Linked DNA regions of Schizosaccharomyces pombe. The protein of the gene in region 1 interacts with the protein of each later gene in a biochemical or structural test. Each region holds a gene or a part of one and is shown on either strand. Other genes may lie near its edges.

Region 1 (4,916 bases):
TTTCGAGACGATGGTGTTCAAGGCCCAAAATCGTACATTGCAAGCTCTTTCGCTGAAAACGATGCAAATGCACTGGTTCAAATTTCTTTCCCACCTAAATCATCTCGTGGAAACGCTGAGTGCTTTAAAGTTTTCTTGTTTACATTGCAATTTCGCAACACTGACATTTTCCTCTTCTATACGCAATCAATGTCAAATTTGCTACATTTTTTTTAAATGTCACTAATGTCATACTCGGCTTGAGCGGCGTCCTGAGACTTGCAATCCACACGTCTGTATCGAAACAATATTGGTAACGTGCAATCCCTGAACCCTCTTTACTTTACATCGGGCCACATTCCGTCTGAGCTGAGGAATGTCATGTTTGCGTGCTTTACTCCCTTTCAGTCAAAATTGTGACTCAAAAGAAACAGTCACAAAATTGGTCTGAGGAGTCGCCATACATATATATACAGGGTACCCATATCCAAATATGGAAACTTTTTAAATTTTATTCTATTTTTCTCTTGGGCAATTTTTGCTTTGCTGTTTGGTTTGAGGTCAGTCGCCAAAGGCAATAGCATTGTGTGCATGTGTGCATGGTTAAAATGAAAAGTTGGCTAACAACATTTTTATTCAAAAATCATTAACATACAAATCTAATCAAAAACAAAATGAATATAGTAAGCAACAAGAATTAAATCATTTTTTTTTCATTGTTTTAATTTTAATGAGTAATTCCTTTCTTCAATTCCTTATTTTTTCATCCTTCCATTCATTCATTCATGCATTCCATCATTCCTCCTTGATGCAATGGATCGCATGGATATACATACATTGATTTGTGAATCGTGTGCATCTATTGATGGATGGGAGTTGTATGTGTTTGTGTGATGAGGGTTTGTTGAAGCAAGGCATTGTCGAGGATGCCCTCTATTTTGTGTTGTGTTTTAGATTAAAAGTTTAATGTGTTTATCTCTTTAATATACATTGTTACACAAAATCTCTGTTTATGATATTCATTTCGTTCCTATAGTTTATTCGAATGAATTGAATTGAATTGACTAGACTGACTATGCATACCAATCTTGTTGCTTCTATTGTTTAACGAAATACGCATAGAATGCTCGGATTGTCGACTTTATCATAGTTTTACGAAGTGAAATTTTTTTAAATGCTGCACTCACATACTGACTGTGTGATGTGAAAGATGAAAGTGTCATATCAAATTTAATCAAATGAACCCAAGGGAGAGTGAATATTATGAATTCACTCATCCTTGATGTTGGCAGAACGAGTCGTTTTGTCTGCATATTCAAACAACCCCCTTAAAACTATCTCAAACGAAACTAAACTCGGGCATGCATTTCAACGTTTTGCATGGTCTAATCATTTTTTGCATTGACTATATCTTTATTTGCATTTCACTATATTGTTTTGCACTTTACTAGATCGTTTTTGCATCTATGGTACGTTTTGCACTAATGAATTTTTTGCACTCACTCAATTTAAACTGCTTCCAAGAATAAAACGTTTTTATTTTTATTTTTTTTTCTTTTCCTTTGCCGTCCGTTGTTTGTCACCCTCAACTACACAAAATATCGACTCCGTGACTGTCATGTTTTATCTTTCACACGAATGACGATGAAATGTGACAGTTTATCTGGTCAGGATGATTGTACAGCCTGGGCCTTGGTTTGCATACAATTGAACGAATTGTGAGTGATTTAATGGTGGTTAATCTTAGAAATACTATAATCTACTTCAACCAATTCTATTACTTCATTTTTTGCTTTGCTGATACGGCATGGTTGCCTCATGTGTAGGACATTTGTCTGACAAACCAATTATCCCTACACGGGAAGAGAATTCCTTGGGTTAAACGGCATGTGGTCATTATCAAGGTTTCGTTAACTTTTGTCCCACAGGATGAGGTTGCCAAATCGTAATACCAGCCTGGGTCTCAAGAGAGAAAATGCGACAAGGGATGCATCGGCAAATGCCAACTCAAAGATGTCACTTTTACAGTATTCATGAGCAATGTGGTGGTGATAGACTCAAGTAACTGTGTTAAAATTAAGACAGGGGCCTGCTAAAATGAACTTACGAATAAATCGCTTTTTCCTTCGGACATTCAAATCAGTAAGTCAAAGTGTGAAAGCGTCATTGGTTGTGTTATTCGAGACTTGTAAGTCGGCAGTAAATCTATCTGTAGCGAGTGTGTTTGAGAAAGGAGGAAATTTTTGCATTGTTCATTAGCAGACTTGACATTTACCGTGTAGGTATTTAAGGTGGCAGGCTTGCCAGCTAGAAATTTCAGTGTGAAAAAAAAAATAAAAGTCTTCAAAACTGGTCGTAAAATGTCTGGTGGCTGGGATGAATCAAAATATGTCGACAACGGCGAAGATGAAGTAGTTAGACAGGTTAGCGAACCTAGTGTTGAAGAGCCAATTGAAGCTTCCGTAACTCGATATCGCAGTGATGAAGAGAAGTTGGACGACAAGTCCTCAGGCGCTCATGTAACAGAAAAAGAAGCCGAGTTCGACATCGAGGGTGGCTCACGGGAAACTAGTCAATGGAAGCATTTCTTAAACGTTGCTGTCGCCGGTGTTGCTTTGATGTCTGATGGTTACTGCTCCAATTCAATCGGTACAGTGATTACTATCCTTCGTAAACTCTACCCAGAGGAAACCACTCACAATAAGTCGTTGCAGGACATTGGTATGATTGCTTATGTCGGCACCATTGTCGGACAATTGTCATTTGGTTGGTATTCGGATCGCTTTGGTCGTAAGAATGGCATGATTACCGCTACAATTATTTTGATTGTGTCTACAGCCCTGTGTACGGGTGCTTACGGCTACAAGGGCAGTATCAATGGCATGCTTTCTGCCCTTATTGCTTATCGATTTTTCTTGGGTATTGGAATTGGTGCTGAGTATCCTTGTGGCTCCGTGGCTGCTTCAGAGTCTTCCAACGAACTGAAATCGGGTTTGCGCCATGCTGCCTTTATCGTTGTTACGGACGGTGCCATTGATTTTGGTTTTGTCGTTGGTGCTCTTGTCCCCTATATTTTAGTTTGTATCTTTGGCGAACACCATCTGCGTATTGTCTGGCGTCTCTCTATTGGCTTGGGTCTTGTGATTCCTTGCGTTCTTCTCCCTTTCCGTATTGCCATGAAGGATCCCAAAACCTATGTCAAACATAAAGTTCCCCTCACTAAAATCCCTTGGCTACTTGTATTGAAAATGTATGGTTTCCGCTTGTTCATTCTTTGCCTCATTTGGTTTGTCTACGATCTCTCTGCCTTTGCATTTGGCTTGTATTCCAGTACCATTGTCGATGGTGTTTTACCCGCCGATGCTTCTACCGCTAGATCATTCGGTTGGAATGTTCTAATCAATACCTTCTACCTTCCTGGTGCCTTACTTGGAGGTGTTTTCTCTGATTTACTTGGTCCTAAATATTGTTTGATCACCGGTCTTGTCTTACAATCCATTTTCGGCTTTTTCATGTCCGGATTCTATAACCAGTTGGTCCACAAGATTGCCGGATTCTGTGTCATTTACGGTATTTTTTTAACGTTGGGTGAATTCGGTCCCGGTGGCAACATTGGTTTGCTTGCTTCCAAAACCTCTCCTACTGCCATTCGTGGTGTTTACTACGGTATTGCTGCGGCTATTGGCAAGTGTGGTGCTATTGCAGGTGTTTACGCTTTTGGTGGTGATCAAGTGCGCAACTATTTTTATGCTGCAAGTGCGATGGCTATCTTTGTTGCTGTTTTAGCCCTTCTCTTCGTTCCAAAACTTAAGCAGACATGCATTGAGGATGAGGATAAGAGATTTATTCAAGCCTGTATCGATGCTGGTTATGGAAATCCTTACAATTACGAGAAAAACGAGCCAGAGCAGCTGGAAGAACCCGACCGCCCTCCTGCTTTCAAGTAATTCGCAGCATTGAGTATATCAAGCTTATTAATAATTTCTTAGCCCTTTCCTGAGTGCGACCTTTTCTTTTCATCATATCATTTTATGCTAATCTTTTCTTTTTTATTGTACCCTTATTAAATACAAATCATGCGGGAAGCCTACCTAGTCTTTTGCCTTGTTGTGTTTCAAAAAATCTAAAAAATTTAAAAGTCAAACTTCATTTGCAAATGTTTGATCTGACTTTGACTTTACAAAATACCTTGTTTGATAATGATTGACGGCTGATTTTGCCCGTGTTTTTATATTCAGTGGAAGTCAGGGCTATTAGACATATGGTAGGACAACTGATCTTTTGCTACCTTTTCGTCTTCATCTTTTTTCGTAATTGTTAAGTACTACTTACTCTGTTATAGTACTGATTTATCCATCCAATCATGAATATTAGTTGCTTAATGTGTTTACTGTTAAATAATTGAAAAAATTATAATATCTGCATTATGGCGTTAACGGACTTTAAGAGTCTTAATTTTTTCTTGATAATTCTAACCCATATGGTTGCTCAATTTTATATATAAAGCGCTTGTAAGTGGTGATTATCCCTACTTACTTGTTGTTATGAATAAAAAAATAAAAACTTTTTTCACTATAACTTAACTCACTTTTGTTAGACTAATAAACACATAGACATGATGAACATAAAGGATTGACCCAAAAGAGCGACAACTTATAATGAAATCCAGCTTATCGACTTTCAACCCCATCCTGACCTCTTCGATCTTGGTCGGGAATTTTTTCGTCTAAACGATTACGAACGTTTAAAAATGTATAATACTGCTTAGCGGTCCACTTGCGAAGTCTTTTACCGCAAAGAATCATTGGGAATGAGGTGGCGATAAAAATGAAACACAATACACCGATTGAAATATAAGTACGCTCCGTACCAAGGCTATCGATCCAACTTTGACAGGCAAACGTAAATACATACCCAAAAGTGTTATTAATCACAGA
Region 2 (5,591 bases), 990 kb from region 1:
TATGCGATCGTGTTTATCACATTCACAACGAATGAATGCAAGTGTAATGTCAAGCCATTATACCAGGATATCCAAACTGGTATAAATTAATAAGATTAATAATGACAAAAATCTCTTTACAAACTCTAAAACGGAAAAAGAAGCAAATGAAAGTTGAATGCACAATAGGCTAAATAACAAAACGTTTATAACAATAGCAGTAAAAATAAGAAAACGACACACTTAAATGGTACAAATACTTAGAAAATCACATATAGTAACTTCTTTCGTCATCTGTACGATCACATTTATCCCAAAACGACTTTCTTTCCCAAAATATACCCAAAAATAAATATAAATAGACACAAAGAAAACGAAAGATAAAACATTCTTAATCAATGTAAGCAGAATACAAGACAAAAAGGGCATCCATAGTATATCAAAATTACTAGACCGATATTAGAAAGATAGGTCCAGATGGCAATTTGGCAAAGAGAGAGAGAAGAGTAAAAAAAAAGTAATAAATGGGAGTAAAAAATCATTTTCCTTTTTTTTTCACATTGTCTTACGTTTGATCATAAGATGATCTGTCGTCTGACAATATTCATAGTGTAGGTCAATCTACTGAGAAACACTCAAATGCAAAAACAAAATAAGAAACGAGAAAAACAAAGGTAATATGCGCAAAATTATTGTCTAAAGGGATGATTCTTGAATGAATCGGCTTGGTTTTGATGGAAGTTAGGATAGGTTCCATGATCGACTAGCTCATGAACGTTAAAGTCGGGTCTAATGTCTCGTGTAGGTATATCATGAAATAAAAGCATGGATGTGTACGCTAGCTCCTCCGCATGGGTATCAGGAAGCATATTCACATGATCACCATCATGTTGTTCAAGCCCGCCATCCTGTTGTCCATGTATTCCTCTTAATGAATGGATACATGGTCTTTCTACCACATGCTGTGACGAATCAGTAGCTATTGAAAACGAGTGTATTCTCCCACGCCAAGAAGGTTGATGATCCGGTACATCTTCTTCCTCATCATCAGCAGCTTGGGATTGATAATAATAAGGAACTTGAGACTTGACGGGATTTGGGGCAGCAGGAAACTCCGAATTATGAACGTCTGGATAAAAATGGTGCATTGTTTCCATATTCTTAACAGTACCATGTTGATTTTGTCCAGGCATAGCCGTTTGGTCTATGTGACGGTCAAAAAAGCTAGAATCGTGATGGTTCATTTTTAAATCGGGAACCTCAAAATGGCTCTGCATGGACAAATTTTCGTGGTCATTCGTTTCTAACATCCAATTGTTCACATTCTCAGCGGCAATTGAGCTTTCGTTATACGTCGGTTGATTATGCATTGCATTACCGAGTTCCGTATGAGATAATAAGCCATGGACTTGTTCAGAAGGTAAACCATGGATCTGATGAATTAGCAAAGAAGGATTAGCTACAGAGTGTTGCGCATATTCTCTTAGAAAATGCTCCTCGGTCATACCAACTGGATTAGTAAAACTTCGGTTTCGAGATTTTCGATTAAAAGGCTTTGAACCAGCTGAGGAAGTTCCAGTTTCGTCCATGTTAGATACCGCCACACCATCCATTGATGTTGAATTGAAATGATCATGATGGACAGCAAAAGGAGGAGTGACATTAGGTTGAAAGTTCTTTGAAGCAGATGAAACAAGTATCTGGGGTTGAAGATTTAGTTCTTGTTTAATAGCTGAGGAAGGATACTGGGCCATTCCGTTTTCATCCATCTGTCTGGAAGACATGGCAAACTGATTGTCACTTGAAGGATCCAACATTTTAGAACTGAGAGAATCTTGCGTGGAATGACCAGAAGATGCAGTAGTTGACTTGGTGTTGTTCGAAGTATCACTCAATTTTTTATAAGGGCCTCTTCTAACTCCCGTTGGCCGTTTCTTCCTGGGTAAATCAATGCAATCAGTTTTGGCTTTAATACAACGCTGACAAGGACGAGCGTCATCACATTTTTTGTTGTCTTTTTGACACTTTGCGCAAGCTCTCTTGGCCTGAGGAAGTCTTTTCTTAACTTTACCGGTAGTAGCTTTAGGCTTTTTTATAATTTTATTCACAGTGGAAAGAGGAGGAGTCGTGTTGTTGGAAACGTTTAAACTACGATTAGGAGATGGACTCCCGGCGGATCCAAAAGGTGGCATAGAGGTTTTAGGAGGATCGGGTGCTGAACAAACGCGCTGCAAAGGAGCACCATCCTGATGATGAGCTTGCGCATTTGAATATGCAGTGCCCTCTGGACCATATTGAGAATAGGGAGACAAGTTGTATGGATTTATGTCTGCCTTCACTCCAGCACCTTGTAACTGAAAATAAGCATCTTCAGGACGATAGGGAGAGTTGTTTAAGGGAATCGGAATATTAGATAATGCAGGAGGATTTGAGTAAAAAGTAGGAGAGTTGTTTGAATTAGGGTTAACAGATGCAACCACCCCAGGTGAAAAACTATCAGACGATGGAGAACGATGGTAGTATGGAATTTCGGTATTTTGGAAATGGACGTCTTGAGACTGTTGCATAGAAACAGATCTTGGATAGTATTCACTCATGCCACCGGAGGAAAACCCAGATGCATCCAAGCCAATGTTTCCCACAAACGGAGCATCATTTGGATTTGGGTTTTGCACTGAAAAAGCAGAGGGAGAAGAGATATGAGAGGTGGAAGATGTGGAGGGATGTACAGAGGCAGAATGAGTACCTTCTACTGGGCGGGTAAGCAATTGTTGCATATGATGATTGATGAATTGATATTCTGCATCGTAATCGGGTAATCCATAAGGGAAAGGAACGGAGGACCGCTTGTAATGTGGATCAAGCTCCTCATTCTTAGAAGCAGACTGAACGACTTTCTTCTGCATACAAACGAAAAAGACAAAAGAAATATGATAAAAGTAAAGCCTTAAACAAATGCTCCTTCGTCTTAAGAAAATTTAGGTTACAAAAAGGCAATACAAAAGAATTGGAGACAATGAAAAGTACCAAAATCCCTAAATCAATGGCTCCTTCACTTTCGTCGCTTTTTGTGAATCAGTATGGAGATATGGGCTATATATGGAAGAAGAATAAATGCGTTTGGAATACTAAGATCGTTGTGTAAGAATAAGAAAGAAAACAATCACGCGTAAAAATATCCTTTATGATCAACAACTTGGTACTTTTCTTTTGAAAAAAACCGCAGTTGAGCAACACTTTTTCAAATCAAAGGTGCTGATATGACACGAACGCGGGGGGTAACAATGATAAATTTTTAGCTCAATCTCGTCAAAGCAGTATAACTGTTTACAGATTTAATATCACTTGTAAACACTTGAACGATGAATTCCTGACAAAGATGAGAGATTTTCTTTTATCGTGTTAGGGCGAAGTCGACAGATCTGATTAGCGGTGGCAGCAGTAATAAATTAGCATGTACAGGGTGGTGGGGCATAGCGCAGTAATCGCCTTTAACACTTTACCTTAAAAAACCTTATATTTAAGCTACCACCGCATTGCGGGGAGATACCTTTTTCGACAATCTTAGCGAAACAGCGCTCTGTTCTGTTAAAATAATAAAGATCAATAACGGAATACAGCGTATTTCACAAGGCCTTGCAAACCGGCCAACCATCCATGGAACGTCTATATAGCACGTATAGGGTGCCTTACATAACATCTGTGTCTGCAATAGCATTGCTGTCAAGAGCCTATACTTACTGTTATTTTTTCTCTGTATTACAACCTTTATTATTGTTTGCTTTTTGCAGACTCCATTTTGAATTGTTGTACCTAAAGCATGAATCGTGTGGTTAAAAGTATCGTATACGGTGTTGGTATGGACATTTTGAGATAGGATCGATTTAGTTGAAAAGATTCTATCCCGAACTTAAGATTGTGTTACTTACCAGTATATAAAATAGGAATCGTTGGATTTGGCTATATGACAATGAAATTAACAACTCCATCTCCCGAACGAGTTGTCAATTCACTTCCACCGGATCTTCGAGCTTCTTATGAAATGAACAAAAAAGATCGATCAGTAAGTATACATAGCGAATCTTTTTTAAAACTGTTTGCTCCAGGTTCTGAAGTGGGTTTGGGGGTGCCACAAAAGAGAGAATATTAAGTCTTCCTTAATATTTCCCTTTACCTTCTTCAAACGTGGTGTTTGCTTTCAATGGTTTTTGTTCGTATTCTATGAAACTGACTTTGAGTAGCAAGCCGAAGGTGTTTTACGAATGATTGAAGACGCAAAACGAAATCCTAAAAACCTTGTTTAAGCGAGTATTCTTACTCAATTCATTTTAATTTTATCATCTCAATGTTTCGATCTTCCTCTCTCAAATATATATCTAAAAGTTACTTTCCTAGGACTTACAAAAAAACGAGCGTTTCCCATTGATGGGTCATTTTCAATTTTCTTGTTTCTTCATCGTGCTACTATTGATGATTTCTGATTTTTTTTTTTTTTTCACTTAATCTATCGCGTATTCGTATAAAACCTTACAAAACAAAAAAACGTAACTTGTGCTTATTTGAAAATTAATGATTCATTTGATTATGGATATGAACGATAATGAATGACTATTATCAGACCGTTGTATTTTCAACAGTGTATATATTACTTTTGCCTGATTTGACTCATATCAAGCCCACTATCAATAAAAATGGAAGACTTGTAAGCATCCAGCAACTTCAGCTCTTTTGAAAGCGAAATAAGTCTTTAGTTTCCTCACTTTAAATTTTGGTACTTCTTTCTCAAAATACACGAGAATACATCCAATAGGTAAACACCCCATTTCCACGTATTTGTAACAAAAAACACATTTTCATTTTGAAATCGTCAACGAAACTTTTAATGAAATACCTCGCCCATTCTGGTATTTTGAGAGGCTTATTTCCCAAAAGTATTGATTGTTTACTTGCTAATATACTCATATGAAACGTTTGAAAAAATGATTTGACGAAAACGATAAGTAATATAGATATATTCTTAAATCTACAAAGAGAATGATGATTGAATACTCAGCTGGTGTCTTTCATGAGGAAGCGTGTTGTACAGTTTGTTGTCTTGAAGACAGCTGTTTGCTTCACCATTATGAAATACTAACGCACGATTCTTCAATGGAAAAAAATGCTTGAAAAACTCTTTATGTATTTGATAATGTAAAAGCCCTTGCTAAATTCTTTATGTTAATGGAGGCGACAAAACCATTGGCGTATGTACCATGTATTTCGGTAGTAGCATTTTTTGCTACTGCTTAACATCAAGTATTCGATAAACACTTGAACATTAGGGATATTACTGAATTTTTGTATTTAAAAATTGTTATATCATATGAACTAGTACTAGTATTGTATGCTGAATAAACTAATTGAGCGAGTTCGCTTAGGAATTTAAAGTACTTGATATGACGACTTATGAAGCAGATCAATTTTAGGATTTCCATTTTAAAAAGTGTTCATGATTGTCAATGAATAGATATGAATCAGTTTGTAAGGTATCTTTTTTTTAATTCTTGTATAGATAGTATCTTTAAAAATTGTAATTTTTCATTTAGTCGGATTAATCTGTTCAGCAAAATTTC

The links.
Region 2: the proteins of tgp1 (region 1) and pho7 are reported together in a solved structure, tested with the Schizosaccharomyces pombe proteins (one study listed by BioGRID).

What each region holds. Positions count from the first base shown.
Region 1 is NC_003423.3:349,793-354,708, reverse strand, and holds tgp1 (plasma membrane glycerophosphodiester transmembrane transporter), read left to right. Parts: upstream 1-2,297; 5' UTR 2,298-2,339; coding exon 2,340-3,926; 3' UTR 3,927-4,399; downstream 4,400-4,916. Other genes in the region: SPOM_SPBC1271.10C (transporter), read right to left, coding at 4,650-4,916.
Region 2 is NC_003423.3:1,344,581-1,350,171, forward strand, and holds pho7 (transcription factor Pho1), read right to left. Parts: upstream 3,395-5,591; 5' UTR 2,886-3,394; coding exon 669-2,885; 3' UTR 532-668; downstream 1-531. Other genes in the region: protein Cbp4, read left to right, coding at 3,800-3,836, 3,924-4,042, 4,221-4,283.